Linked DNA regions of Schizosaccharomyces pombe. The gene in region 4 interacts genetically with the main gene of each other region. Each region holds a gene or a part of one and is shown on either strand. Other genes may lie near its edges. The genes, in order: SPOM_SPBCPT2R1.01C, SPOM_SPBC1604.12, sgt2 and ung1.

Region 1 (7,331 bases), on a different chromosome or scaffold from region 4:
AAAATGGGAAAGCAAGTTGAAAATAATTAAATTCAATAAATTAGCAAAATATGTTTATGAAGGTAACCAGTTTTTTCTTTTTATTTTTTTTTTGTCTATATGTCAGATTCGCAACTTTTAAGTTTGAACAAAACATTATTTCACATCGACTCAAAGGTTATGTGTATTTAAAACGTTCCAGTAAAAAAATATTCATTTGTAAAAAATAAATAGGTGGTATATTAAATAAGAATGAACTTACTACACAATTTCTGTGTAAAAAAGTGAGATTAAAATAACTGGATATTAATCCATTGATAAACAAATAATAAATAAAATAATCCCGGTAACCCCTTTAAAGGTGAATCAAGTAAACCATGGTTTTTGTCAAATCATTTTCTCTTGAGCCTCTTCAGCTACATTTCGATTGTAGGCAAGTGCTTCATTATGGGTGGGAAACATTATGTAACATGGAAAAGCAATTTTCTCCATAAAAGTGAAAAGATCACCAATGATCACCGACAGTCTGTAATCAAAGTTTCCAAATATAATATTCGACAGGTAATGCAACATTGGAGATGCACAGAATATAAAGATAAATGCATTTAGCATTCTTCTAAAAAATCTGGCTTTTGAAGCATTTTCGTAAGTTGTTACAGACGTGCATTGTTTCAATAAATGACAAATAGAATACACCCAAATTGCAGGAGATACCTCATACTGGATCATGTCAAAAATCTCTGATACTACATATACGTCTTTATATAAAGAAATCCAGTATACAGAACATAAAGCAATGACAATACTAATTCCTTTTATCATAAGATATTTAGGAACAGTTCTAGTTATGCCGAAACCCAATGCACAGTAAATCACAAATAATCGATAAAAATTTGTCCGAAGAAAATCAATTATTTCATACACCGAATAAAATTGTCTGTATTTTATACATTCGGAAGAAAAAACATACTCCTCAATGCATTCTTGTAGAGTCTGATTTAACGCAAAAAGAAAAATATAAAGGCAGATTACCTTTTGAGCAGGAAATATAATCTTGCTGAAATGTAAACAAGTCCATATCCAATAGCTCAAAAATAATAGTACTCCTCCCATTTCAGCTACAGAAATATAGTTCCAAATGCCAATTTCGTCATTATTAATTTGATCTTCTGAAACCGAATACCCCATAAGGTCTAAATTAAATTCAGCTCCATCCATTGTCATTGGTCTCGCAGCTACGCAGTAAGAACCCGTTTCATTAATCAAAATAGTTTTCCATATACTTGTAATATTTTCGCCCGTCCATACCGATTCCGAGTTACCAGAATATGCAAATGATCCCATCTCTCGGTTTTGGGAATTAAATTCCTCAAAAAAAGATTTTTGGATCACCGTGTCTCTTGATTTTACAAAGTCAATCATCTCCTCAACTTGATCATTCCAGCCAATTATATTTTGCCATTCATTTGCTTCAAAAAAAGACAAAGCAATTTCTCTTTTATCGAAGCTTTGTGCAAAAAAATTAGCATGTATTCTGGCACCGTTAGATTCCTCCACAATGAACCAACTGCACTTAAGAGTGAGCTTTTTGGCTTCTTTAGGCAGTCCATTATGGTTTGACAAGGTAGAGTTTTCCTTTTATGTAGTAATAGATACTGCTTTGGCGTCTACTTCACCTTTAACTAGAGTATGGAGAACTAGGTTGCATAACAGCAATGCTAGTGTTTTATGAAGACGCATCTTTAAAAAAGTTGGTAAATGATGCTTGCTCAAGGGAAAAGCAGATCAGGAATGATTAGCCTTTTATATCTTTCGTTTTGGAGTTACCGTGCTCCACGTTGCATAACGTTAGCGTTAAAACATTGGGAAGATTGGAGGGAAAAGAACACAAATAAATGGTTTGTTCACGCATCATACCTTTACTTCAAGATTTAAATTGTACAAGCACAAGTTACTGAATATAATAAAAAATCTGTTAAGTATGGAACGTGAAAGATAAAGTCATTCACCGTTGACTAGTTCTATTCCGTTAGTACTCGTACTTCATTCGATGATTGAGTTAATAACGCCGTTGGTAATATCCCGAGAATACAGAAGCTTTTTAAAAGAAAAATATAGCAAAAAAAAAAAAAACTGGTAATGACCAGTGGATAAAGAGATAGCATTCGTTTTTTTTTGAATTTAGCAATTATTAATTTAAAGCATAGATTGAAATTCAGCATGTACACTACCAATCTTTTTTTTTTTTTTTTAATTTCAATAGTTTGTTTTTACGATTGCGAGCAAGCGCCAGAACAGATTATAACGTAGAAAATTCAATTCGTCTAACTTATGTCCTGCAATATTTTCGCTTAGCAAGCATACACCACACCACCGTCCAACCATTATCGACCTAAAATAAATTCTGTCATTCAAGGTTGATCACTCCTTTTAGGCAAGATAGATAATAAGACGATTTGTTATAAAACTTTCTTTCTCAAATTTTTCTGGTCTGTCAACCATTTAAAAGTAGTCCAAAGATTTAGAATCTTTTACTGTTTATTCAAATAAAGCTGTTTAGTATTTTGTAATTTGAAAATTAGAACGATATCTATAATCACTAAGCGAATAATCACTAAACGAATTATATTTCAAACAAAGCCTTAAATTAACTCGAAGCATTTTCGTCATAAAAAATTGAAACCAAATTGTTTCTACTAACAGATAATGAATAAAACTCCTTTCCTGTAGTGAATATGACGCTGAATTTTGGGTTAAAGTAGATGAAATGGAGTTTTTGAAACACAAGTGGGAGTCCAAATTGGTTCAATTCGAAATTTTTTATTTAATATAATATATTTTAAGCTTTTAAAAAAAAAATATATAAAAAAGTCATTTTTAGTATTTGAATAATTATGAAACGAAAGATAAAAACATTAGTTACATTAAGTGATAATATCTTAATTAAAACCATAATTTGGTTTGGTTCCATAATTGAAATTCATAACGAACGCACCTTATGTGCATGATTTGGACAGGACAGTCAATTCGAACATTGTTAAGAATAGTTATATTCTATATGATCATGAAAACGATAAAGAAAATTATTTTTTCACAGGAGTAGGCATATTTTGTAGTTCTATTTGTTCAATATCAGAACCAACTGTTGTTTCTGAATGTAATGCTGTTTCTCCGTTATGTGTAGGAAGAGTGTTAGAAACACAGACGTCTCCTGGTGTCACAATTTTAAAGCCTAAAGACAATATTACAAGTTTGTAAAGAGCCCAATGACCAAAATACAAAAGGCCAGTTATAGTTGCACCCAGGGCTGCTATAATCATTCCCAAGACTGCTATAATCATACCCAAGACTGCTATAATCACACCGGTCACCCGTAAAGCAAGTACCGCAAACTCTGCAAAGACTATTTTAAATTATTAGCAAAAAAAAAGAAAAAAAGCATCACTATAAAGGAAACATACAAATTAAACTAAGTAACATTAAAACAAGCAAACAAACGTAAATAGCAATAGGCACCCAAATTTCACTGTAGAACCGATTTTCATTTATCCAAATTGAAAGAAACTTTTGGACTTCGAACTTTTTGTCTACTGCGAATACAATGATAATAGACCAAATAATAAGCAAGGGCCAACGAAAATTACTGCGGGTAGAAATCCTTCCATCAGGATAATAGCTATTGTGGAATTTAGAAAATTCAGTAAAAAGGTCATTTAAAAACTCTTTTATTTTATTTGTTTTAATATTCATCTTGTCTTTTTGAGGCTTAATGGTGTTGGTAAAGAGGGATTGTCGGGATTGTCGAGATCGTTGAGATTGTTTGTTTACCTTTTCAGGCTTACACAAATCAAGTCCCTGCTCTAGGTCCACATTACAAACATCTTCCACCATAAATAACTCATTGTAACCAGGAGGTTCAACCTGTTTTTTCAAGCTTTCTGGATTTGACATTGGAATAGAACGACAGCACTGTAATTTGATGACTTCTGATTCACTAGTATTTTTCCCCAAAGTAAAATTAAAAAGAGTGGTTTATGGAAAATAAAAAAGAAAATATACTAAAATATTTTAAGCCATAAACGAGAAAATTAAAAAAAAAAAACCAAAATGGTGAATGTTTTACGTTCTGAGGTGTCTCATTTATTTAGGAAAAGCATTATGATGTTGGCATCTCGTAATCCTTACAACTTTTTTCTTTTCACAATTTAACAGCTACGCAGTTTGGTATCTGTTTAACGATACGTTTAAGTACGATGTGTTTTCCTTGTGACCTAGTATATTACAGTACACAGTAATACAAGTAGCATCTGCTATTGATATTTTTATATATGAATTAAATTGTTACCTAATCACTAAAGTAGCTGTAGCTTATTGCTGAACCTCGTTCTTTATTTTTCAGTTTTTCTCAATTTATAGCATTTAAAAATTTTTCTAAATATCCTGCATAATTAGTAATATGTCTATCTCTATAACTCAGAGTGGAAAGTTAATAGAGCAAATATAGAACACTTGACGTATGGTGTTATTCAACGTAGTAGTATTTAGTAGTATTGTTGACCTACATACATTGTATAGGAGATTATGCTTAATCCAGGGGATCATACAAAGGATTATCCTATAACCCTTATTTTCGTTCCGCAGTAAGTAGGTGTTTGTATGCTCTGAGGCTTAGTAATATATAGCGATCAAGAGAACGTCAATATCATAGAAATTTGGAACTATCTTCATCCTCTTTTTAATATTTTACCGATGAGATTGCTATTATTAGTTACGTTGCTATCTATCGTTGGTTACACTAATCAGTTGCTTTCCAACTGACCTCGAAGACGCTCCAGCTGTAATCTGGGTAGCCCAATTTCCTCCAGATAACACTACACAGCACTATGAATTCAGATATATCGTAAATGAATTATATAATGCTAGCAAGATGACTGCATTAATGAACCATATATATATCGATAATCCGCTTATAAGCAATTCAACTAATAACGTTACTCACGAGTTATTGATTGATCTCCATGAACTTTATAATGACGGAGAGATTTCCAGGATAGTTCTACTCAGAACTTTGGTAACTCAATCTGCGGATGATGCTACATGGATAATCAACTTGACAGATGATGTGCTTAATGGATTACCACTGCTGAAGAAGCGAGACCGATACACCACACAATGTCATAGTACAAATATGGCAAGCACATATGACTGTGACACTGGAGCCAATGCTGTTGGAGCCCGAGGTGGAGCCACGTTAGCAGCCGACTATAGAGGTGATTGGGGGGGGTAATGTTATACAAACCTTTGGTAGTAAAAGCGTGTCTTACTGAGATCTAGCATGTGATGTTTTGGCTTATTATCGATGATTGTTCTCAATCAAGAGCAAACACCCACCCTGAAGTATCAGGCGTTATACCTGGTTCTGCTGGAATGCGTAGAGTATGTGTTAGTGATAGAGGATCTGGGTGTTAATATTGCATCCCATTGTCCATAATAAAGATCAACACTTGAAGTTTTAAAACAATTAAAAACAACCCAAGTTAATTGTGTAAAGTTTAAATTGGAAATGTAGCATAGAGGGTAATACCTACGATAAATGAAGAAAAATGAAAACTTATAAGGATTAAGAGAAGCATTAACTTCATTGTCTTAATAGTATAGCGTAACTGTTGCAAGATTGACAGCGATATGTAAAAGTAGTATTTAATACAGCAGTTAAAAAATGTTCAGTCCCTTTAATTCCGGTAAAGCATTCAGTCATCCTACTAAGGAAAGATTCACAGAATCGACATATTGATTGTTATTCCTTCCAACTGAAGCGGCAGCTGACTTTGTGTACTACTGGTGGACTGAATCTATCATGATTAACAATTTCTTTATAAAGTATTTGACATTCAGTCATAAAAATAACAAAAAAAATTGAAAGAAGCAAACCGTTACATACATTACATACATATTCGATAAACATGGTTATATGTCGCCATTTTTAAGCTTGAAAATGATTACATGTTTAACTATTGCTCTTTGAAACAATATATTTTGTCGGTTTTTTATTAGTAGCTAGTATATTTATGTTTAAATTTCAATAATATTTCTTCATTAATTTATTTCAAAAAACCTAAAAAAAAAAGCTATACATCTGTTTGCTCTTATATCATTTCATTATCTAAGTACAGCTTAAAAGTTTCCATTGGAAACTGAACACTATCGATATTATTTTTAGCTACCGCTTTTCTGTTCCTACATCATTGAAAGTTGACAAACATTCAAAACGATAATACTAAAGTAATAACACGCACACTATATTATCAGTAATGTTGTTTTATTAGTATCAGCTAACAATAGTAAACGTCAGCAATATTACTACACTACACTACACTACACCTTGATATACTCGTTGTGCATCACCATATGCCATACCTAAAATACCAAGATTTCTTCGCCAATAATTGCGGAAGGCTACATGTCTATTTCAAAAATACCCATTGAAAGCGACTATTAGAAAAGATCAGTAGAACTCAATATTTTATCATCACATATATTTACAATTTGATTATTTCGTATACTATACTCTCATATTATCTGTAGAATTGTAATGCTCTACTTCTACAACGTATTATATCACTGTGATTTATTGCTAGTACTACTCGTACCAACAACTTCCAACTCAGTACGATACTAGGAATCAAATACTGCAATTCAACCTTTCTTCATACTTCTCTATTGTTTTGAGATTAGAACTACATTTGTCACTTATGAATTATTCCAAAACAGTACGCAATACTACCGTATTGATTGATGCCTTTGACAATTAGGAATCTCATTGAAGTAAAATTTAGAGCACTTATTGATTGTGAACGACGTAACAATATTACTGGTCATGTTAGTTTTCGATCTTTTTCCGGATTGACATCTTTACCTGCTTGCAATTTACTTAACGGAATACCATACAATCACTTTGTCAAGCAGAACTTGATGCGATCTGTTGAACTAAGCAAGCGTGGGACTAGCGACATAGATTATGAATTCTTCTTAGTGCATTGACGATTGCGCCGGAGATGATTGTTATTTTACATTAGGTTTCATGAATACATGTATCTGCAGAAATAAATCAGAATTATATGTCTTCTTCAGCAATAAGTACGAATACTGATATGGAAATGTTTTTTACTGCTTTCCACATCATAATTGTGCCGGTATTTAAGATGCACATAACTAAACTTATTAGATCACGGGGACACAAGTCTGTTGTTTTTATCCGGCATATTCAGTAAATACGATGTATGTGCAATAATATTAAAGAATAAGCGTTTAATATCAATTGCTATCAATAACCAAATAACAATTCAAAAATC
Region 2 (9,327 bases), on a different chromosome or scaffold from region 4:
AAAATGGCTCTTTTAAGAGGAAATTCTTTGGCAATTAGCCAAAAAATGTTATCAGTTTTTCAAGCTAGCGCCCTTCCTCATATTTCTTTGAGGATATTTATTTCCCCCCCTTCAATAGCTAATATATGGAATTCCATTTTGCTTGCTGTTCCAAAGAAAAAAACTTCTTATACTAAGAAACGAAGTCGCTTACTGTCCGGAAAAGCATTAAAAGACAAAACAGTTAATCGTTGTCCTATTTGCGGGTCTTTTAAATTGGCACATCATTTATGTTCTCACTGTTTTAGAAATATTCGTCGAGAATTTAACGAATGAAGGGCATTAAGCATTTCTTCACTGATTTAGTGATGCTGCAAATCTTTATTTTAAGAAAAAAAATGGACTTAACATTAAATATAAGGTTGTTTCATGTAATAGTATTGCAGTTAGTGAATTGAATCTGCTCGCACTACTTAAATTTTTTCAGTATTACGATTAATGAACTACACCCTTTTTAAAAATACGCGTATAACAAAGAATTTTTTTACTTAATTTTATTTGTTGACTATGTACGGTTGAGTATAAATATCATATATTATGCAAAAGAATTTAGAGTGAAAAAATAACAAAAAAGCTGAATATATCTCTTAGCTTTCATCCTTTTTCAATACACGTTTATGTTGTAAGCGTGTAAATAATATTAAATGCATCGAAAACACAAAAGAGACTATAATCTCATGTAAAGTATACATAAACGATAACAATAAGAAAAAACCAAGCTAGTTTTTCGCCCTCCATAAACCGGAATCAATTCGTTCTCGGCGTTGAGGATCATAACGATTAGCGTTCATTGAATTACGAAAAGAGCGACGAGCCACTTGAATTGTCTTGCTACCTGGAAGACAAACAGTTACACGCAGTGGATGAGTAGGATGAATTCGAAGGGGTTGTTTGGAAGATGAGCGGTATATAGGAACCTTCTCCTCTAATGGTTTCATTTCCTCTAATTTTAATGATTTAGTAGGAAGAAACCGCTCCGGGTTCACTTTAGGCAAATGTAAATTCAAAATAACATCGCCCTTCGATCGCTGAATTCGAACAGAATTTGCATGACTAAGTATCAATCTCGATGATTTTAAAGAGCTCGTTTCCGAGGATACTACATAACTACTACTTCTGGTATCACGACCTTTGGAGTGGCTGTAAGAAGAGGATGAAGAAACAGGTTGACCGAGAGCATTAGAATTGCCAATGCGTGAAACTCCTCCATGTTCGTTGGGGACACGATGGGGTAAATGAGCATTTGCGGCCACCCCACTTTGATAGGATCTCTGTTTATATAAGTTATTGTCAAAAATGACATCCTTTATACTTAAAATAACTTCATCAATACTCCGAGACTTTCCATGTTTCGGGGAAGAAGTACTATCATCAGATTGGGGATTCAACTGTAAAGGATCATTTTTATCCGACGTAAATAAAGGCGAGACTTGAACAGGAGGAATTGGATGACTATGACTTCTCCATGAAAGCGGAGTAGAATCATCTCTGGGGCTAGAAGGATCAATTTCTGTTGTCTCTTGGTTACTATGTAGTCCTTCGGGACTATTGGTAATAGACTGAGGCTCTTTAGTGTATATTGCTTCAACTTTTTTGCTAGACTCGACATTGGAAGACCGCTCATTAGTAATAGTGGGTGAGGAATTCATCTTTGATGATGATATCTTTATTTCTTCAGCTTTTTTACGGGCTCGTTCTCGTGATCGAGCAAGTTCTTCTTCTTCATTCCTCCGCCTTTCAATTGCTTTCTGGCGAGCTTCGAGCATAATTTGCTGTTGCTCTGCGCGAAGGTCGTTGATACGACCAGAAGCTTCTTTGTCAAAACGTTTTTCATTATTTTTGTGGGCAAAACTTTCACTTGAATCGCTGACGATTTCTACTTTATTGATATGTCTTGGCAATGCCGTAGATTTTTCAACAAATTCCTCATGAGTGACATTAGGGTTTTTCTTCTCCTTTGATATTTGAGGTTTTTCTTTCTTCAGAAATGCCCTTTCAGTTGGTTCAGCTTCATCAGAAATCGTGGGGTTATGCACAGATACAGCGCTAGTTGGAGCATTAGGGTAAACAGGTTCAGGCAGTGAAACGGCCTCATCTGTAATATTAGAGTGTTCATTAATACTAGCTTCTTCTGGAACAGGGATTTTGGATGGAGCCGCAGAAGATACAGATTCATTCGAGGGTGCAGAAGGGACATGATTTGAAGCAAGAGTGTCTTGACGTTTCACTGGCTCATACCTCCTCGTTTTCGCATCAATCACGACAGTAGTTCCATCCTCAAATTCAATTGTGCTTCCCCAATCGTCATCGTCTTCGTCGTCAATTTCATCCCATTTACCTTCTGATAAGTGAGATGCTCGGCGAGCACTGGTTGGAGAAGGAAGTCTTGTAGGAGATACTTCTTCTGAAACAGGGGTGCCTGAATCTTGAAAATGTTTAGAAATTTTGCTAACACGGTCTTGTCGCTCTTCATCAACAGGTTGCTGGCGACAAGAAGAGGGAGCCGCAGAGGCGGCAAGGGCTTGAAGATTCTTTGTATCTATAGTTGAAAGGGCTTCATGAGATGGATGAGAAGAAGAAGAGAGAGAACTAGAAGTATCTAGTCCTTTAATGACATTGCCATTGGAATCATAAACCGTCCCAGTAAAAGATGCATAGGCAGCCGACATAGAATGGCGAGCAGCCGAAGCTGCTGCTGCTGCATATAAGGAAGGGGCGCTTTTCTTGTTATTGGAGTTATTGTCAATGCTTTCAGGAGAAGAAGTCCCAATAGAGGTTGGGTTAGAGGCCAATCTCTCAGCAGAACGAATTGCCCAAGGATTTCCTGGAGCAGTCCTTTTTCCAGTAACAGAGCTCCCTCCAGATCCTCCAGTACTAAGTTTTATGGATAAACGAACTTTGCCATGGGTGCCTAAACCACTCGGGTTGTCGATGTGCCCAACAGACTGCGACGAAGAAGAAATAGTTTGCGCGTTATTATTTGAATTTGTTGTAATATTTGCGCCAGTATTTGAAGGTGGCACGCCAGCATTTAAAGAAACGGGCGTAGTTTTCGGAGTGGATCCTGCCGAACCAGGAGCCGTTGAAGGTGGAGAAGAGACATCGACTTTCAAAGAGGATATTTGATTTGTCGAAGTATTACTCGCTCCATTCACCGATCCTGCCTTCCCTAAATACGCCTTGTTCAGTGAAGAAGACTTAATTTTCGGTCGCTTAAATATTGAAGATAACGTTTCCGCCGGACTTTCCTTGCTTTCATCTGCTGATTTTATAATAGGGTCATTTTCTTGAATTCTCTCCATGACCTATTGATAGAGACGTTTTTCTCCGTTAACCGGAATGTGTGGTACACAAATGGTGTTTTGAAGAAGCAGAGAGGTAGGGGCTTTCTCTGGGTGGAGCGTTAACGCACCGTATGCGAAGTATGCTCGCTTCACTGTTAATGAGTAAAAGTATATAAAATAATGTCATAAATAAAGGAAAAGTCTTACAAAATAATAGAAATACATCAAATTACATGTACACACGTTCAACTTTTTACAAGTCAAACTACCTAAATTAAATAGAATAATGGATTTTAGCTACACAACTTTAAAGAACTAAAGTAATTAAGCTTTGCTAAAGAAGATTGAGAGAAGGGAGCGACATCAAGAATCTTAATGTTGTTAAGAGAAACTTGGCATATAAGGGGCACACTCAACAAAAAGATAGAACAAACCTTTGTAATGACATACCATTGTTAGTGGAACTCAGATCCAATAACGCTCTGTCAAAATCAGGTTTAAGACTGTTCCCGTTAGACTAAGAATCCCTATTGTTATTAAGATTGACCATTTATAAACGATAAACAGCTTTGTAGTTACTAACTTTCTTAAACATAAACAAGAAATCAACAAAATGAGATGATCTCTTGGACTACGTTTGAAAAATAAGACCTAGAAAAATTGTGTTCATAATTGTAGGTTTTAAGTAAAGGGAGCATAACATTTGAGCTTAATGTTCTTCATGATGACGGATATGATAGTAATATTCGCTGGCATAAGAAAATACCAAAACAGCGCCGACCAAATGTAGCAAAGGAGCACCGCTAGCATTCTTCCCAAGATACTTTTTATAGTACCAACTAAAGAAACTGTTTGAGCTCTTTTTAGGAGCTGGTCCATGCGGTAAGCGGGAATAAAAATCGACAATTCTTCCCATCCTAGCAGAGCTAGGAAAAGCATTCAAAGCCTATCTTAGTTAGATTTTCGTTTATATTTATCACTTTTTTAATTAATCTTACTGTAGGATTCGCTACTTGAGGGGGAATAAACGATTTCAAAGGAAATGGAGCCATGATTACAATTAAGTTAAAGTGAATATGGTGATGTTCAATTCCCGTCGTATATAGCAAAGGAACTTGCAATGAATGGTTAATGGATTTTTTTTTTCTTAAACAAAAATAGCGTATTGTTTTGTAAATTTCGTTAAACGTTCTAAAAAATCAGGGATTTTTTTCTTTCTTCTATAAGAAACTATCCTTGCTAATTTGCTATTTTTTTACTTTTCAAATTCTGTTTGTTATTAGTTTATTTTTTAAGACTTCATAGCTGCTTTCACAATTAGTTACTTCAGTCAAGTACTCGTCAGCATGAAGTAAAGGCATTCTAAAAACTACAAGTAGATAGATATTTATGTAAATCGATTCAAAAAGATTAGCTCGTTAATAAAAATGGAATCATTTGTCAAAACAGTATATCTAAGGCTGCCCGTATGATAAGCCCACTTCCAGCGATCACATCTTCTTTCTTAGCTCAGACAAAGATATTTTAAAACTTCAATAAATCTGGCAACTAGAAGAGTATGCTAGTATGCATATTTTGCTTACATATTATCATCAGGGCTGAAATAGGACACATGATAACCGGCCAAATGTTTCAATCCTCTTGGCCAATTGTAATTTTAAATCTTCATTTTCTGATTCTAAACTCTTCCTCTCCAATTGTTTTTCTTCAATGGAGTTTTGTAACTTTTTAATTTTCTCTAATTGATGTTTTGGTGCAGTGGAAATACCTGGAAGTTGGTTGATCAAAGTGTCTATTTGCATAAATTTTGTAACCAAGTCTTTTGCTAGATCCCTTTGAGCGACTACAAAAAGAAGTTAGCACATAAAATGACTAGAGGACGTCTAATATCGTACATTGTAACTCTTCAGCAGAAATTGGGTTCACTAATAATTTGTTAGTAGCTACTTTGAATAGCATCATAATGAATCTTGTATACCTTTAGAATCAGAAACCTTTTCTTGACCAGGTAAAGGAACGAAATCATGATGAGAACTTAAATAATGAATGGAAGAGTAAAATTGTGTGGCAACCTACATAGGTTAGAATAGAAAAAGAAAACTAGTCCCATTACCTCATCAATTGTATCTTGAAGCTGAGTACACCTACATGCCATTTTTTTATGTAGGTGTAATATGAGTTAAAAAGAGTTGAAAGTCGCAAGTTGTTGAAGGTCCATGATGCAGGTAACAATTGTTGAAGCGCAAATGTCAAGAACAATAAATCGCTAATTAACTTTTCTGTTATTTCAGCATCGGATATTTATTATGCACAGCTTTTGATTTTATGACATTGTTTGTAATTGTAATGTATCGACCTAAAAACCGACTGTCTAGCAATCGGGAAAAAGAATTAAGCTAGAATCACGCTTGACATAAGCAAAAGAAATTTAACATAAAACAGTACATAAAATTTAAAAAAAAATTAATGGAAAGCGAAAAAAAATAAACTACAGAAACTACAGAATCAGCTAAGTATTTTTAATTAACATAGAAAAACAATGATAATAGTAATACATTCGACATATTTATTATATTTTTGATCGTGGAAGGGTGTCCGAGTGGTTATGGAGCTAGTTTAAGGCACTAGTGCGAAAGCTCGTGGGTTCGAGTCCCACCCCTTTCAGTACCTTTTTGATAATCCATTCATTCTGAGTGTTTTCATATTACGTGAAGGTGCATTGTTATTAAAATTGCAGTACTCTGCTTTTAAAAAGATAGCGGACAATGCTACAAATTCAATACAATCTATCCTTTTAAGCAAACATAAATCACTAAATGTTTAACGAATATGCTACTACGGGTCTTGAATATTCACAATATTCTTTTATTAGGAAATGCATTAACCACCGGTACCTTATAATATTCTTACGAAGTGGGTACACACTGAAATAGCTCATTGGTGACCCGAAGAACGGAGGTTAATTTATTTCATAGTCTCGTATATTTGGCAGTAGTTACATCAAGAAGCAACAAATGGTGCATCACTGTCAATATATGTATATATACTATAGATAAATAAATACAAGGCATGTGACTTATATAATGATACTTAACGTAACGTACTATCATCAACGCTTTATTCAAAATAATGAAATGTGCTAAAATGTGATAAAATATTTGTGATACCGCGTTGAGAATCATATTGAAAGAGGTTGCAAATTGCTTCTTGCACCAACTTTGGCTCTTATGCACAAGCAATGTCTTCTTCCAATTGGGAAAAGTTAAAGAAGGTATGAAAGGCTATAGTTTCCATTAAGTCATTTAAGATTCTTGTTTAAGTATACTAACGGTATTGGTTGTTTAGAAACTCGACAGCGCTAAGAGTGGACGGGTTGAAAAAAAGCATTCTAATGAAAAGAAATACCTTAAAAGTGTGAAAGGTAAAAACAATGAGAATGAGAATTCTTATATCGTCGATAAAAAACGCATGAATGAATTAAAGAAATTTGCTAAGGAAAATGATATCCCTGAATCTCAAGTCCTTGACGCATATGGCGTGGATGCTTCCAAGCTTACCAGAAAAACCAATTTGGAAACATTGGGGAAATATATTGCAATGGATTGTGAAATGGTTGGGGTGGCAGATGACATGTCAGTTCTTGCACGCGTCAGTATAGTTAATTATCATGGTCATGTCGTGTATGATACTTATGTCCGTCCTAAAGAAAAGGTTACGGATTGGAGAACATGGGTCAGTGGTGTCAAGTCATTTCACATGCGGGATGCACCTTCATTTGAAAAAGTACAAGCAGAAGTTGCTAAGATACTCGACAATCGAGTATTGGTTGGACATGCTGTCCATAACGATCTCAAAGTACTACTTTTATCGCATCCAAGAAGAATGATTCGTGATACCAGCAGATTTTCTGGGTATCGGAAATTAGCCAAGGGAAGGACACCAGGGCTTAAAAAACTTGCTGAAGTGATTCTTGGGCGTGACATTCAATCTGGACAGCATTCTTCCGTCCAGGATGCCCAAGCAACGATGGAATTATATAAGAAAGTAAAAAAAGAAATGGATGAAGTTGCATTCAAAGGTTTGTCAAAGTCATAAGCTTTGAATCACTAGACTTCGTTCTGGTCATTTGGGATTTGGGTTTAATAATATGCAAGAAAATGTTTCTTATAATTTTACTGGATATGTGTCAGATGTTAAATATATTTTCGGTTGCTTATAACAGCAATATTGTTTTCATTGGCTCTTATGAAATCGTTGGTTTTCTTTCTTTATTTATCTCTTCTGTTTCCTTCGTTTCTGGTTTTAAATAGTCAATCTATTAATAATTTTTAGTATAAATAAATGATGCATACAACTGAAGGAAAGAAATAATGTATGGAAAAAACAAGGATATAGAGATTTATCAGCTTCGTTTATATGGTCTTCATAATTACTTTGTGAATTAATAAAGTTAATGTTATATAATTAGATTACTTCCTATAGTGTATATGATTTAGAGCATTTTAACTGAATGACGATAATATGTTTTCAAGCGCCGTTAAGTTAATTCCTAAATTTATATAAATACCGAATTAATCTTTATTATCACAAAAAAAATAAAAAATATATATATTAATAATAGCTACCAAATAAATTCTAGTTAGACAATGGACCATTAATGTATACATATTAATAGCTTACAAAACAGATACGGAAGTGTTTGAAAAATAAGTATTTATTCAAAGATTAAATTGCTCAACTATATGTATTATATAATCAAAATAAAAATAAAAATAGGCCAACTTGACAGGTTGTTTAAAGAAAAATTCCATTTGTTTTTAAATTTTGAATTCTTGTTATAGCATTCAGCTTGTTAAAAACCCAAGAAAAATTGGTTGATGAGCTCAATAAGCATGTTGTTTTACCCGTTTTATGGTGCGAAGGTTTCCAATGACAGAACAAAAATGATCTAGAAAGTTTCAACGATTTGAACCGGAAAATGATATATTTCAAATTATTCTAAATTTATTATTTTTGAACATTGTTACCTGGGTGCCGGCTGCTTCTTGGAACGACACAAGTGCTCTTTTACCTCCTTATTCTCATTAAACTCGCAGCAACCACAACTGTCTTAGATAACTAAAAAAAAAAGAGTAAAAAGGATATCAAAAAAGTTTATTCCTATAGAAATGGAATCGAGATATTTATCAGATAGAAGAAGCCGTTTTAAAAGCAAAGGTGTTTTCAAAGCTGATGAACTTCGTCGGCAACGTGAAGAACAGCAAATTGAAATCCGCAAACAAAAACGTGAGGAAAGTTTGAATAAACGAAGGAATTTAAACGCTGTTTTACAAAATGACATTGATGTGGAAGAGGAGGCTGATCAGTCTCAGGTTCAAATGGAGCAACAAATGAAAGATGAATTTCCTAAATTGACAGCTGATGTGATGTCAGACGACATTGAGCTACAATTAGGTGCCGTCACGAAATTCAGGAAATATCTTTCTAAGGAGACGCATCCCCCTATTGATCAGGTAATTGCTTGTGGTGTTGTTGACCGGTTCGTACAATTTTTAGAAAGTGAACATCACTTGCTTCAATTTGAAGCGGCTTGGGCCTTAACAAATATCGCTAGTGGTACCACAGATCAAACCCGTATTGTTGTTGATTCCGGCGCTGTTCCTCGTTTTATTCAATTACTTTCTTCACCTGAAAAAGATGTCCGTGAGCAGGTTGTATGGGCCCTCGGTAACATAGCTGGCGATTCTTCTGCCTGCCGTGACTATGTACTCGGTAACGGAGTTTTACAGCCTTTACTTAATATTCTTCAGAGTAGCGCTTCTGATGTTTCTATGCTCCGTAACGCTACATGGACACTTTCTAACTTGTGTAGAGGCAAAAATCCACCACCTAACTGGTCAACTATTTCTGTAGCCGTTCCAATCCTTGCTAAGCTCCTTTATTCTGAAGACGTTGAGATTATTGTTGACGCGTGCTGGGCCATCTCCTATCTTTCTGATGGACC
Region 3 (7,613 bases), on a different chromosome or scaffold from region 4:
CACGAGCTTTACGGAAACTTCAGCGTCAAAGACAAACCGAGCTATTGGAAGAAGCTTTAGACAGTGAATCTGATGAGGATGACGAGTTTTCTTCAACTTCCGGGAAAAAAGTAGTAAACGTGTTCGAAATTCTCGAAAAAGAAAATAATGCTATTAACTCAGAGGCAGAAAAAAGTGTTTCTGAGGAAGAGCAGGATGAACCATTAGTAGAAGGCGAGTCTCCAATTGTCTCTACAAATAAGAAAGCAAAAAATAAAAAGAAAAAGAAAAAGCAGCAGAAGAAGAAGAAAGTCACTGGAAAGCGTGATTTAGATAATCAATCTTCTGATAATGAGAAATTGGAGGGACTTGAATCAAGCAAAAACATTGATGATGATATTGATGAAATAGAAAAGGCTGCTGCTGAATTAAAACTTAAATATCGTGAGCAAGATCAGGTTGAGCATGTTGCTGGTGTCGAAGAATCTGCTACTATCCCGTTAGATAAAGAACTTGATGAAAAATTGAATAAGTTATTGGGTGTAAATATTAGTATGTTAAATCCTGATCTTGAAATACGTAAGATTTTTGGCCGCATCGTTGAGAAACGTTCGGTCAACGCTCGACATGATAACCTGCGGAGGAAACGCCATGTTTTAGTACAGCCTCAAGAAGGATGGCCTCCTTTAGTAAGATCTGGACTTGGAATGAAACTTACCGGTCAGTCACAAGACTTAGAGTGCTTTTTTGAAATCACTCAGAGTCGTGCTTACCAGGAAGTTCAAGAGACATTCGAGTATTACGTGCAAACCTATGACCCTAATAACCTACTTATGCTTTTACGCTCCCATCCTTTTCATATAGACACGTTATTACAAGTTTCTGAAATAATAGATCAGCAGGGCGATCATGAACTGTCAGCAGAGCTTGTTGCCCGCGGTCTTTATGCTTTCGACAGTATTCTTCATCCTAGATTTAATCTTGCAACTGGTGCCACGCGGCTTCCTTTTGCCATCCCTTCTAATCGGCGTCTTTTCCTCTGTATTTGGAGATATTTACAAAGTCTACAAAGCCGGGGTTGTTGGAGAACCGTCTTTGAGTTTTGTAAAGCTTTACTGCAGTTCGACATGTCAGACCCCTACGCAATTGGTACTTGTATTGATATATATGCACTTCGTCGAAGAGAATTTGCTTGGATAATTGATTTTGCGAATTACCTGGAAAATTCAAACAAAATTTCGGACACGCCAAATATGTTATATTCGTCAGCACTTGCCATGTTTTACGTACATGGTGATACTACCGACACACGAGCGAGTATGCTTGCCGCCTTTGAACGTGCACCTTACATGCTAAGTGAATTGTTGGACACTTTGAATATCTCTTTCACAAAATCCTCTATTCCATCCCCTCAAGATCCAGTTCAAGAGTTACATTCTGCTATGTATGCTTTATATGCTAAGGATAGCTGGTCTGATCCTACGGTATTAGCATTCATTAATTCCATTCTTGAAAAAGAAACCGTGACCCTGCACGATGTAGAAGGACAATTCGCAGAACTCACTGAAAATCTCTCTAGGCGTGTTATCCTGTTAAATGAGCAAAGCTTGAGAAAATTTCTACCACAGAGAATCTTGCAAGGAACTATTTTATCCTTTGATCCTCTACCTCCTGATACATATTTAAGCGAGTCACAAGTCTTTGGTAGAGATATATCTCGTCGAATTGCGTCGTTCTTGTCCGATTATTTATCCAGAGCAAGAGAAGTTAATGAAAATGAGGAAGAACCCCCTGCTCATGAGTTTGATCTTCCTCCTGCTGAACAATTGCTACAACAGATTGAATCGGAGGTTGGTGAAGAATCAGAAGATGGAACTCCGGTGATGACCCGACTACGTTCATTTTTTGGAAGCTTGTTTACATCAACAAACTCAGAGACGGAACCTGCAGAAGAAAGCACAGAAGAGATGGGTCAAGGGGATTGAATTATTTCAAAAGAATTGTTTAATGAAGTCCTTATTTTCATACAACGAAAGCTATTGTAAAATTATCAATAAAAATTAGATGAACTATTTAAAAATAATACGAAAAACGATGCAAACGCTACTGTAAATACGGTAATCTTAACAAACATGTACAATATGATTGATTAGCAGAATGATTGTATATGCAAGGTACTAAAAAATGTCAAAGCAATTCTTCAAGTATTCAAAATGAATTTAAATGCAAGATATAAACTGCTTGAATGAAAAGCAAAAACAAACAAATCAATATACACCTATACTTTATTGAGGGGGAGGATTTCCTTGGTTATTGTTATCAGTGTTGCCATTATTGTTATTGTTCATAAAATTGCGAGCCAAATTTTGCAGTTGGGGGTTATTGGCAAGAGAACTCAAGTCAGGCATACCTCCTCCAGATTGAAAGTTACGGGCCATGTTGGCAATATTAGGGTCATTCATAATATTATTCAAAGCACCCGATTGCATCAAGTTACGCGCCATGTTCATAACAGCTAAAATCACTTATTAACAATGAATAATGTATACACTAAAAAACTTACCAGGATTGTTCATCAAAGAACCTAAATCAGGCATACCTCCTCCAAAAATGGATCCAAGATCAGGAGCGGCACCAGCAGAAGTGCGAGCTTGGTCAGCTCCAGAAGTAGCGGATGAATCCGATGGTTGATTCAATTGCTTGTTAGCAGCTTCCAAACCTCTCTTTAAAACCTCATTATTGGGATCAAAGTCTAAGCCCTTCTTATAAGCATCAGCTGCCGCTGCTGCATCGCCAAGTGACAATTTGGCACGACCAAGTCGTCCAAAGGCTCGAGCATGATGAGGATCTAAACTTAAGCATGTTAAAGCATCTTCTACAGCATTTTCGAATTGCCCTAGCTGATTATACGCGGCTGCACGATTGGAGTAGTAAACTGGAGAGGTAGGATCGATTTCTATGGCTTTAGTGTATAAATCCAAAGCTTTTTGATAATCCTTTGCCGCAATGGCATTATTTCCTTCAAGTTTTAATTTCTCAGCCTCTTCTTTATTAACATGAGCAGTGGAATCCTCCTCCACTGGATGCAGTTTTTCGTACTCCTCAAAAGCAGCAACTAAACGATCCCCTGACTTGGGCTTAATTTCTTCTGGTTTGATTTTAAAAGAATCTTGAATACATTGAGCTGATTTTGGTTAGATTATCTTAAATGGGGTTACACATACCAGCAACCTCCAAGCTTTCCTTTTCTTCTTCAGAAATCGAACCGGTGGTAATAGCTTGCTTCAAATAGTCAATAATAGCCGCAGTAACTTTGTTAGAGCTCATTTTCCTAATCGTTTTAAGAACCGATTTTTTTCGTATTACTGAAAGTATATCGTGAGATGCGCGAAGGGCAAAATTATTCCAAGCGCCGTTATAGATTTTTATATACGTAAACATGCAAATAATAAAATGAATTTTTGATTCCTAATTATATTGCTATTAAAATAACATTAGATAACTATAGTACCTTTAATGTGAATCATGAACTGTAAAATACTGATATGACAAAAAAAAACAAAAATAGATAGAAACAACAGACAGGAAGCAAAGAAAAAACTAAAAACATATATTATTCCAGGTCCCAGCTTTCTGTCTCAGAATTATATTGAAGGAGATGGAAGGGTATTTGCAACTGTTCAAGGTACGTACCAATGGAACATGGCTTGGTGCGTAAATCATTAGCTGATGTGCGTAAAACAGACTGTGGAACTTCTTGAAGCATGGTTGTAAACTTCAAAGAAAAAACAGGAAATAGCACTTCGACTGCTAATTGCGCAGATTTTCGCCAATTTTGGATTTTTCTTTCAACCACCTGTATCTGTTTAGAATTTTTGTCAGTGTCAAGAGCGAGCTCTACAACGGATAATTGTTCTTTCAAGCCACCAATTTCTAATTCAAGGTTACGGATTCTGTTAATTAGTTTGCTATCCGTTTCACTTGGAGCAGTAGCCATTGAGATAGGCTTGGCACAATACAGCCGTTCAGGTGAGGAAACAGTTAAGCGGGTTCGCGAAATCTTCGAAATCGGAGGATGAAATGGTTTAATGAGAGCCTTTCGTACAGACATTTTATTAACATTCTTAAATGGCCGCGTAATTAAATCTTTGTTGACCCCTGGGTGCATAGTAGATTTAAGAGATGGAAGGCTTCGATTTATCAAAGAGGTAGAAAGACAGACATTAGAATAGTTTGGAGTATTGTTCTCATTGGACAAAATAGTATTTTTATAGGTGTTCGGTTTAATAATATTAGAATGGTTTGAATGATTATTCCCAATTGATAAAACACTGTTTTTGTATGAATTCGGCTTAGTGACATTAGTACGATTTTTGCTATTATTTTCATTCAACACAGCTTCGCCTCTGTTGGAAACCATTTCAGTTTGTACTTTCCCATACAATCCAGTCCAAACATTCTCCTTCCGAGATGCTAGAAGATCGACCCTCTTATGCTTATGGGAGGTAGCAGACTTAGGGGGAGTGTAATCATAGTTAAATTTAATACTTGAATTAGGAATATGCGTGGCTTGTTGTTCAGACTCATTGATGCAAGTTTCATCAAAGTCTTGATCTACACCGTAGGGATTCAACAAATCTTCTTGATGTTGAGATTCAGCTAGTGGTTGCTCAAGTCGACGTGATTGTTTCCGTTCTTCTATTGCCATTTTGTTAATGGTAATTAATGAATTTTCGGAAAAAGTTGGCTCCATATCACTAGGTAATGGAGAAATGTCAAAAATAGTCGGCTCACTAGACAATGGATCTTGACCAGTAGAATCAGAAGTTAAATCAGGGAAGTCTTCATCCTCTCTTGATGGCTCAAAATCAAATTCCTCAGAACAACCATTGTTCCAATCGATATGATGAGGTAACGAGGGCTCTGTATATATACTAGGTTTTATGGTAACCGGAATGACTACAGCATCGAAAACTTTTCTCGGTTTCTTAATCCTTGGAGACAGAGTAGGATATATTTCCTCCTTTTCAGGATACTTCCTCCAGCCTGTAGGTCTTCCCCTTCTTCTTGGCAATCCTTCCTCGAAGTTCAAATCTTTATTAACATACGAATACTTTCTTGGCCTTCCTGCCCTATGCTTCACTCTCGTCATTTCTCTTTTCTTCAGCATAATCAGTGCGGCTTCAGAGTCTGCAAATGCAGGGAATAGATTAGTATCGTCTGTAAAAGCCAAAGATTTAAATATAGGATCGAGATCACACAGCTGGTTCCAACCAAAATCACTTTCCGAATAATTTTGGGTTGATAATTGAGATTTACAACTTTGTGAGCTTAACGGTTCAATAACCTGATTATTCTCGTTAGGAAGAGTAACCAGTGGTTGATTTTCAGATTTATCTTCAAAGTATGCAAAGTCTTTATCATTCGAGGACACATGGCCGCTAATCTCTGGGTGGTCATCACAATGGGCATTGTATTTCACAAAAGAGGGAGATTCAGTTTTTGGATCAGGAGTCGTTGTACAAAAGAAAGAATCTGTGATAAATTCATTATTCATTTCATTTAAAGAAAAATCTCTAGAAAAGGTTCCCTTCATCTGGCTTGCTTCTGTTTGATTCATCGGTTTACCATCAGAATAATAGTATTCTACCGGCTCAAAGAAATGGGATCCAAGGTTTGAGCCGACGCCCTTTCCTTGCTCAAACCTTTCATTGTCGTTAGAGGAAATACTTTCAGATCCGGTGTTTACTGGTATCGACTCCTGCTTTTTGTTCACATTCATAAGGCCTATAAGGTTTCTCACGATTCTCAAAAAGCAAAATTCTGTTCAAAGCAATATACATTTAATAAATTTGCCGGAGTATGATTATTAAGGACATATCTTTGGTGTGGAAATTGTGAAGAAATTTGGACTGAGTATGGTGGGCACTAATTCTTGAAGGAGGTATTCTAACAACCTCTGTGCACATACCACACATGGTGAAGTTATCTTCCATTATAAAAGCCAGAAAAGCTAATGCTTTGGCTAAAAAGAATGACAAAATAAAAAAGAAAGACACTGATAAAGGCATACGACAAAAGCATTCTAAAAAGGAGGGAAAAGATGAAACATTGAAAAGAGACGTAGAAAAGTTTATTCAAAACGTGAATAGCGAAGACACCCCTTCTGAAGATGACTCCATGTCAATGGATGCTTTTTTGGAAGGCGGATTTGAAGAATTAGACTCTGCGAATTCGAATGATGCAGGTTCCTCAAGAAAAAGAAAAAATTTGCCAAATGAAAATACACAAGACTCTACCTCTGAATCATCGGAAGAAGAAGAGGATGGCTTGGAATCTTATCAAAAGCAATTGGAAGGCCTAAAGGAAAAGGATCCAGAATTTTACAAGTTCCTTGAGCAGAATGACCAAGACTTGCTTGAATTCAACGCCGCTGAAACAGACGCAATGGCGAAGGAAATTGATGAGAATGAACGTTTGAAATCTTCTAGCGGAAAAATCGTTCTGACAAGTGATACAATTCAACAATGGCAAAAGCTTTTGGAGACGAACCATTCATTGACCACACTACAAAAGGTCGTGCAAGCGTTTAAGGCAGCAGCATTCTTAAATGAGGAGGAGGCTGAAGATTTGAAATACACTATTAGCGATTCAAAAGTTTTCAATGACCTCTTGTTGTTAGCCATCCAGTACGTCCCCAAAGTGTTGAATTATCATGTTCCCATTCAAGAGGATGCGAAAGGAAAAAAATTTATAAACACTGATTCAAAGGTGCTTCCGAAGCTACGCCCTGTGTTAAAATCCTATGGATTTTCGATTTTACGTTTGCTAGAAGGGATGACCGATGCCAAGAATATCTCTTTACTACTTCGGGAAGCTCAGAATGTATTGCCTTATATGATTACCTATCGAAAATTCCTTAAACAGTTTACACAGGCAACTGTTGAAGTATGGAGTTCGACTCGTGATGACAGCGTTCGGTTTTCAGCTGTTGTATTGCTTCGTACATTATGCTTGACAGCTGACATAACTCTGCTGGAATTCGTTTTAAAAGAGGTTTATCTTGGTATGGCTCGACAATCAGCTTACACTACCGTTCATACACTCGATAAAATTAATTTCCTGAAAAATAGTGCTGTTAATCTTTTTTTATTGGACGCTGAATCATGTTATTTAATCGGATTCCGTTACATTCGACAACTTGCTATTACTCTTCGTAACACCATTCATCAACCTAGTAAGGATTCTCGAAAGCCTGTTCAAAGCTGGAGTTATGTGCATTCTCTAGACTTTTGGGCTCGTTTATTGAGTCAAGCAGCCTGGTTGAGTAGAGAAAAGGGAGTTGCTTCAGAATTACAATCTTTGGTCTATCCTTTAGTCCAAATAGCCCTTGGAGTTATAATGAGTTCACCGTCATCGCAATTATTTCCAATGAGATTTCACATCATCCGAAGTCTAATTTACTTATCGCGCCATACTGGTGTGTTTATCCCTCTTGCACCTTCGCTATTCGAGGTCTTGGATTCTTCTTATGTGTCAAGAAAAGCCAAAGCTAGTACGCTTAAGCCATTGGATTTTGACGTTGAGTTGCGTGCATCTTCGTCATACTTAAGAACAAAGGTCTACCAGGACGG
Region 4 (7,611 bases):
ACTTGCTTTCCATAAATTCCACAGCTTTCTCCTGTTTCTGCGCAAGAGGCTTAAATGACATAAACGCCTTTTCTTGTGAAAGCTCTACGGACAAACACACACAGGTAACGGATTGCTGGGGTTTATAGACTGCTGAAGGGACTGGCACATACTCTTCAGATATATAGGCCTTTGGAACTAATGCTACTAAACCGTCACAAAACTCGACAAAAACGCCAAATGTAGTCGCATTACGCACGAATCCAAAATATTTAATACCTTCTTTAAGATCAGTGATATTGATGGGCATCCGATTTTCCTTGGCAGCTTCAACAAGGCTTTTCTTCAATGACAAGGAAATCAACTTTTTACTGGTGTCTTTACGAAGAACTAAGACCTCAGCAAGCTTGGTAGAAGCTCTTAATTTATTCATGACTTTAGAGCATTTATTTAAATCTCCATCGCAAAGTTGGCCAAGGGTAATCACACCAGTAACCTTGTCTCCTAAATCAACGATCACGGAATCTTCGGTTTTCTGAAGAACAATACCTGAAAGTACGGAACCCGCTTTTATGTTTTCAAATCTTTCAAGTCTTTTAGCATCCCAACTCTGCTCACGACAGCCGACACGCATTTTACGATTCTCTGGATCACAACTGACGATAGTAACAGAAAGTGTTTGCCCAACTTTAAAGTGTTCTCTAGCATCACGAATGTAAGCTTCGCTCATTTCCGAAACGGGAAGAAAAGCACGGACACTGTTGTAAAACTCAACTATAGCTCCATCTTCAAAAATACGAGCAAGAGTTCCAACTGTTTGTGTTCCTGGGGTAGCTTGTTCATAGTCATATATCAATGGCAAATCTGTGTTAAGTAATGATTTTTTGAGAGTTAAGAGGACACGCTTTCGTAGAACATTCGTACTTAAAACACGGCATTTTACGGAAGAGCCAACTTTAAAACGACGTTCAGGAAACTGTAGGGCTATGTCAGCCATATGGGTAGAGGGAACTAAACCATTTATACCTTCCGAAATAGTTACCACGATTCCTTGAGGTATAAGCTTCGCAATGGTACCATCGACAAATTGACCGACTTCGATATCCTCTATTCGCAAAAACTGCTGGTTTAATACAGATTGTTGAAATGACAAGATATATAAATTATCAACATAACTGTAATTAATGATTCGAGCCTCGTGGGTGCTATCAACTTTATAGGGGCCAGAATTGGGACTAATTCCAGCAACCTTTTTATCGGAAAGGCGTGAAATGTGAGCAAATCCGGATATCTCAGGTACACCAACATCGCAAAAAACGCCAAGTGAGGAGGATACATACGTAACCTTAGCAGCATTGACGATAAAACCAATATCTAGTTGATCGGGATGTGGAGTATTGGGAGTTGCGAAGTTGAAGGTAAGCACGTGAGGTAAGAAAGATACTGCAATTTTAGGGGGATCACCGGGAATCACAAAAAGAACGCGAGCAGGAACAGATTTAGCAAGCTGGAATTTATCTTCTAAATCTTCCCCTTTCACGGGAGAAGAATGATAAATATCACTAGTGACATCTACTACACCCATATATTTTGCAATAACTCCGCTTTCCTTGATGTCCGTTACCAAAACATTTATATAGTCACCAGGAAGAATAGCTTGTACAGAAGGCATAACCTCAAGCGCCTTAGTGGATGTCGCAGTGAGAGAAAGATGGAAAATTCGATCTTCTTTTGAAATAACGGAACACAATAAACTTTGGCCTTCAACAAAAGGGAAATCATTTATGTGTTTTTTGGATAAAAAACCAGTATAATTATTAATACCAATATCAAAAACAATACCATGATCTTCAATACTTGAAACCACGGCCTGTATCATCGACCCAGCAACAAAATCCGCAGCCTCAGGAGCAGAACCGTTCGCATCTTGCGGCTTAAGACTTAGCTCGATGTGTCTTTTTCCGGTTTTTGTAGTATTTTCCGAGCCAAGGGCTGTAACAGAAACACGCACCCATTGACCAACTTTGTACAAATCCATCAAATCCGGTATTTGATTAAGACCGTCTTCCTCTTCAGTTGCTGCATTATCTTCTGCATGATTGTCAATACTATCCAGACGATCAGAAAGCTTATCGGAGATATTTGTGATAGGTACATAACCTGTCAAACAGTTTGGTAATGAGACGGCCAAGTCCAACGTATTTATTTGAGCAATTTGACCTAAAATTAAAGAGCCGGGTGTGATATTTTTATATCTTAAGCTTTGAATATGAACCTTCAAATTTTCTTCGTTGTCCAATTCGGATTTGGAAGATTTTTTACTACCCTTTTTCTTAGGACGAGTTTTTTTACTCAATTCAGCGGTACCAGAAGCGGACTCCATAAAGTCCTTCTTAGCCTCTAAAACAGCTTCTTTATACTCTAAAGGAGTCAATGAAGACGCCCCACCTCGAGGGAAATCTTGAGTTGCCTCGTTAGCACTCAAAGAAGAAATTCTCTCATTCCCTTGGGAATCCGAGCCTTCGGAGGCATTGCTCCTCTTTCTTTTATTTCCAGCCATTTACTTCTATGAACTTCTGAAAAGAAAGAACGACTGGAAGAAAGAAGCTTTTTATACAAAGTAGTTGGTAGCGAGTAAATTTATGCTGCTGCTACAAAAGAAATAGTCTAGGAAGGGTAACGCATCATGAGAATTTCTTTTAACGATGAATATTGTACTACGCAATAATATGAGAGTTGAGGAACTTAAAAAAGGTGCACAAACAATATATGCGATTGTACATGGCAAAAAACAGAAAAACTTACAAATTGATCATTTAATTTAATTTTTTTTCTTCTTAATTTTTTTTATCTTAGTTATTCGCACTGCATACACTATTAATTTCATAATGAATAATGCAAATGCCAGAATGCTTGTTGGTACAAGCAAATGAAACGATAAATCTAAATTTACGAAGCTTGGGGATGTTTATTTTTTTTCTTTGATTAATTTTTGTAGCAATGAAACAAAATTAGGAACAGCGCGGTTGTAAGTTTATTACGCCGGACATTTCCATGATACATAGGATGAAAAAATTGGCTATTACAATAGAAATACAATATTTATCACAGGTACAAAAAGAATTTTGCGTAAACCCTTGTTTTTAGCGCTTACCAGTTGAAATGGCATCGATAGTGAATGTCAAAAACCTTCTCCTCAATCTAAATGTTGACCGTCGAAAAGGTTATTTCCGAATTTCCTTTGAAATATTAATTTTTACCTCCATTATTTCTTTTCGTTACTTATAGCATTCAAGGGTTCAAAATTGTCTTGTAAGTTTTTATACCCTCTTCTATTTATTATTGTTCGCAGCAATTTTTTTAAGCTCTCGTTAGTTAGATTAGTGTTTCGTTTACAATTTTAACCCTACCCTACCCGAATGAATGTTTTGTTTACACTTTGGCAGGTTACAATAGCAGTGGACATGAAAATGAAATGAGGAATTGCACTCTGTAATTGTAAGTATATGCTTGAAGCTCATATAGAATATGATAATAAATTCAAAGCATCTTTATAGCTCAAGTATCTTGATTTGAAATCAAGGACCGAGAAATTGTTACATTTTGTTTCTTTCGTTTATTGTTCGATAATTTTTGTTGTAAAAAACGAAATGAGGCTCACTTAATTCTTTCCTGTATTGGGTAAAAAAAATTTTTGTATGAAATTGATAAAATAAATTTATTTCTTCAGTGAAATTGATTCAATGTTCCATAAATTGTATATTGAATGTATTGCTCATAAAATTCACGCAAAAAAATATAAATAAAAAAGAAACAAAGCAAACTGATAAAAATAATAAACGGATGATTCTTCAACATTAACGAAGTCTTTCTCCTGTTTGTTGTCATTTATATTACGGTTAACAGCCATATGTACTGTGTCAACAAATGACATTTTCTCTAAGCAAACAACTTTAAACCACTGTACTTTTGAAAAAAAAGTTAGCAATTAGTATTTTATAGGAAAGGAAAAAAAATTGAAACAATGATGAGCAATTCTCGTAAGGGACAACATGACAATACAATATAAAACAATTTTTTCTAACATGTAGAAATTTCAAAGCTTTTTAGCTCTATCTCTAACAAGGAAAATTCGAATGAAAATGCTTTAAAAGAAAGCACGAATAAACAATTAAACAATGCCAATACTTTAGCAATAACCCATTTGAAGGAACAACTTTCGAGAGAGGTTCAACGAAGAGAAGAGTTGGAAGGATTGCTTGAGCAAAGTCAGAAAGAAATGGAAGATTTATCGGTTTCACTGTTCACTGAAGCAAACGAAATGGTGGCCAAGGCAAGGCAGGATACAGAAGTATTAAAAAGAGAATTGGACTATCTCAGGGCAAAAGAAAAAGGACGTATTGGGAAACTAAGAAGCATCCAAACTGCTGTCCGAACTTCAATCGAAGCCAGAAAATTACTGAGTTATTCTAACGAATCAAATTACCACTGATTACATTAAGTCTTTAATAAATGTGCCGTTTACGATGGATTTGACATAAATATTAAACTTTAAAATGAATGATTTAAATGTTAAGACAAAAAAAAAATAAATCCTCTGCGAAAAGAAAGACATAGAAAAATAACACACATTAAGCAAGTCCAATTGTAGGTAGAATAAAGATAAGCATGCAAGTGGTATAATAAAGCAAGCATGACAAAAGAAAATAAAAAGCTTGATTAGACCTATTAGCATCCAGTAAACGAGCAATTATTTTCTGACTTTTTCTACTCAGTTGAAGAGGATTCCAACTCGCTAGACTTTATTTTTGCTTTTTGTTCAGAAACAGCGCTCCAATTGATGCATTTTTCAGGTCCATACTGCTCTTCGAGCCACTCATTGGTTTTCTTGAAATGGTGGCATTCAAAAAAGCCACGATGTGCAGAGAGAGGGCTAGGATGGACACTTCTAAGTACATAGTGTGCTTTCAAAGGAAGACCTTGAAGTCGCTTAGCTGCTGGAGTTCCCCATGCTAAAATTACAAGACCCTTGCGATTCCGATTCAACGCAACTTGCAGGACAGCAGAAGTGAAAGTTTCCCAACCCTTGCCAGAATGAGAAGCAGCTTGATGGGCTCTTACAGTTAAACTAGCGTTGAGCATTAAAATGCCTTGGTCAGCCCAAGGAACTAAATACCTGCTTCATTAGCAAAAAGCCAAATCTTAGAAAGAAAAAATATAAAGACTAAATAATTTTAACGTACCCTGTTTTCGGAATAACAAAATCAGGATAATCGATCTTGATGGCTTTATATATGTTGACCAAACTTGGTGGACATGGAATTCCTGGACGTACGGAAAAGCAAAGACCATGGGCTTGACCAATGTTATGGTAAGGATCTTGTCCTAAGAGAATGACCTTGGTTTTATGAAGTGGAGTATGATGTGACCATGAGTAGATATCTTCTTTCGGCGGGAATACACGTTGGCTTTGCCATTCCTTCATCAAAAACTCTTTCAGATTCAAAAAATATGGCTTTAAAAATTCATCTTTTAACGCATCAAACCAAGAACTCTCCAAAGTATCAATTTCTAGTCTAAATAGGTTAACAACCTTTTCCAATTTTCTAGCCTACATTGTAAGCAATACTTACTGTAACAGCTTTCTTTGAGCAGGAGTAAGATTTTCTGCCCATTTTTCTTTATTGAACTTTGAGACAGAGTTGTTCTCTTTATTATCAAGTACCTGAGTATCCTTTAAAGCAGGCGATGAGGTGTTTGTCTTAAAAAAATTATCCAAACGTGGCTGCTTTAATTTCCCGTCAAGTTTATTAACGGTATCATCAGCTTTACGCTTATCTGTAGTATTCAGAACAGTCATTTTACCTAACTTATTAGAAAACAGCTCTCTGCTCCATAAACATACTGTCCACCGAATCGTTGCAGAGAACAGGCTTTCATGTATGATAATTAGAAGTGTTCGTACTACACACTTGACACTACCACGATAATGAGACTAAATTGATGTTTATTTCTTATCGGTTATTTATTTGAGAAATATTATTGATCATAAACTGTATTATAAAACGATTGCTTCAAGCCAAAACCTAAGATATGGACGAAGCCAAAGAGACGGTATTTACGAAACCTCAAAATCATTCAAGCACCCTTGAATTCTATGATTTTGTTACAACATTATTGGAACCGTTATCAAGAATTGGAAAGACTAGGAAATCCAAAACATCAAACCTTGACCCTTATGAATTAAAGCGCAAAATCCTCTTGGATTACTTTAATAAATGGCGACAACATGTAGGACCAGATCTTTATCCATTACTTCGACTAAGTAATTTAATATTTGTATTTTATTCCTTATACTAACTAATGGAGTGCTTCCTGATGTACGACTTAAAATTGTTAGACCACTAAATCGCATTACATAAAGTGTCTTAATCGGTGTCTTGAATTTCTAATTGCTAATTTTCTAGTTGGATCGTGAAAGAGGATCATATGGGTTCAAGGAATTTGGGCTTGGAAAACTGTTTATTCGAGTAAGTAATTAAGTTGCAACATCAGTGACTAATTAACAAGGCTATGCATTTGAGTCCTACTTCTGAAGATGCAAAATCTTTGAAAAATTGGAGAGGATCCGAGTCCAAACATACTGGAGATTTTTCTACCATGTTGCAGGGTGTGTTCATCATAGTTTTTGTATTCCAATTGATCCTGATCATATTTTAACTGAAAAAAATTTAGATATTTTACAAAGAAGGGCATACAGGACCTTTCCTGGTGCCTTTACAGTTGGTGATGTCAACGCCCTGCTGGATCAATTAGCAGATGCTTCTTCTGAGTATGTTCTAAATTTTTTACCGTATCTAACCTTAATAAGGGATACCCGAGTTAATATTTTGGAGCAATTTTATAGATCCTTGAGTCCTCTTGAGCTTCGATGGCTAATTCCCATTTTACTGAAAGGTTGGTTGGAAATGATATTTCTTTATTTATGACCTAACTTTTTTATTTCTTTAGTTCGAAAATACGGAACATCGGAAAAATTCATACTTTCTGTGTTCCATCCTGATGCAGCTCGATTATATCGACTGTGTAGCTCCTTAAAGAGAATTTGTTGGGAGCTCTATGATCCTAGTCGGTCTCTTGATGAAACTGAAACAGATGTGGAAGTCTTTAGTTGCTTCCAGCCTCAGCTAGCCAATTTCAAAAAAAAGGATCTCCATCAAACGCTGGAAGCCATGGGAAATAAACCGTTTTGGATTGAAGAAAAGCTAGACGGGGAGCGTATTCAATTACACATGAGTTCAGGAAAATTCCAATTCTATAGTCGAAATGCCAGGTCGTACACTTATGCCTATGGCTCTAGTTATTTCGATGAACAATCTAGGCTGACACAATACATCATTGGAGCATTTGACAAACGTATTTCACAAATTATTCTTGATGGAGAAATGGTTACATGGGATCCAGTGTTGGAAACAGTGATCCCATACGGAAGTTTAAGAAGCATTTTTGAAGATTCTTCCTCTCATTCATCCTACAGCCCTTATTACGTTGTGTTCGATATTTTGTATCTTAATGGGAAGTCTTTGGTAAAGTACTCATTAGAATCAAGAAGACGAATATTAGAGAAAGTAA

What was found.
Region 1: mutations in ung1 (region 4) and SPOM_SPBCPT2R1.01C together harm fitness less than expected from each alone (positive genetic interaction), as found in Schizosaccharomyces pombe (one large-scale study listed by BioGRID).
Region 2: mutations in ung1 (region 4) and SPOM_SPBC1604.12 together harm fitness more than expected from each alone (negative genetic interaction), as found in Schizosaccharomyces pombe (one large-scale study listed by BioGRID).
Region 3: mutations in ung1 (region 4) and sgt2 together harm fitness more than expected from each alone (negative genetic interaction), as found in Schizosaccharomyces pombe (one large-scale study listed by BioGRID).

The regions. Positions count from the first base shown.
Region 1 is NC_003423.3:4,503,544-4,510,874, forward strand, and holds SPOM_SPBCPT2R1.01C (uncharacterized protein), read right to left. Parts: upstream 3,931-7,331; coding exon 3,441-3,930; intron 3,383-3,440; coding exon 3,063-3,382; 3' UTR 2,974-3,062; downstream 1-2,973. Other genes in the region: SPOM_SPBPB2B2.18 (uncharacterized protein), read left to right, coding at 1-121; SPOM_SPBPB2B2.19C (transmembrane helix domain-containing protein), read right to left, coding at 367-1,401; SPOM_SPBCPT2R1.02 (uncharacterized protein), read left to right, coding at 4,907-5,266.
Region 2 is NC_003423.3:3,908,135-3,917,461, forward strand, and holds SPOM_SPBC1604.12 (uncharacterized protein), read right to left. Parts: upstream 3,412-9,327; 5' UTR 3,342-3,411; coding exon 759-3,341; 3' UTR 501-758; downstream 1-500. Other genes in the region: mrpl32 (mitochondrial 54S ribosomal protein bL32m), read left to right, coding at 4-315; atp17 (F0-ATPase subunit F), read right to left, coding at 4,033-4,269, 4,322-4,375; srb7 (mediator complex subunit Med21), read right to left, coding at 4,916-5,166, 5,219-5,248, 5,302-5,395, 5,437-5,478; exoribonuclease Rex4, read left to right, coding at 6,562-6,594, 6,669-7,418; importin alpha family nuclear import signal receptor adaptor Imp1, read left to right, coding at 8,492-9,327.
Region 3 is NC_003424.3:3,625,581-3,633,193, forward strand, and holds sgt2 (SGT2 family TPR repeat-containing protein), read right to left. Parts: upstream 3,376-7,613; 5' UTR 3,307-3,375; coding exon 3,204-3,306; exon of another isoform or gene 3,164-3,203; coding exon 2,543-3,163; exon of another isoform or gene 2,495-2,542; coding exon 2,265-2,494; 3' UTR 2,095-2,264; downstream 1-2,094. Other genes in the region: protein Rqc1, read left to right, coding at 1-1,964; DNA recombination mediator Swi2, read right to left, coding at 3,593-5,761; noc201 (Noc complex Noc2 family subunit), read left to right, coding at 5,956-7,613.
Region 4 is NC_003421.2:601,265-608,875, reverse strand, and holds ung1 (uracil DNA N-glycosylase Ung1), read right to left. Parts: upstream 5,903-7,611; 5' UTR 5,840-5,902; coding exon 5,613-5,839; intron 5,556-5,612; coding exon 5,223-5,555; intron 5,156-5,222; coding exon 4,747-5,155; 3' UTR 4,472-4,746; downstream 1-4,471. Other genes in the region: U3 snoRNP-associated protein Rrp5, read right to left, coding at 1-2,539; protein Spo13, read left to right, coding at 4,004-4,019, 4,071-4,471; DNA repair ligase Lig4, read left to right, coding at 6,073-6,304, 6,349-6,359, 6,447-6,509, 6,550-6,649, 6,715-6,811, 6,851-6,936, 6,991-7,611. UniProt on the Schizosaccharomyces pombe protein: Excises uracil residues from the DNA which can arise as a result of misincorporation of dUMP residues by DNA polymerase or due to deamination of cytosine.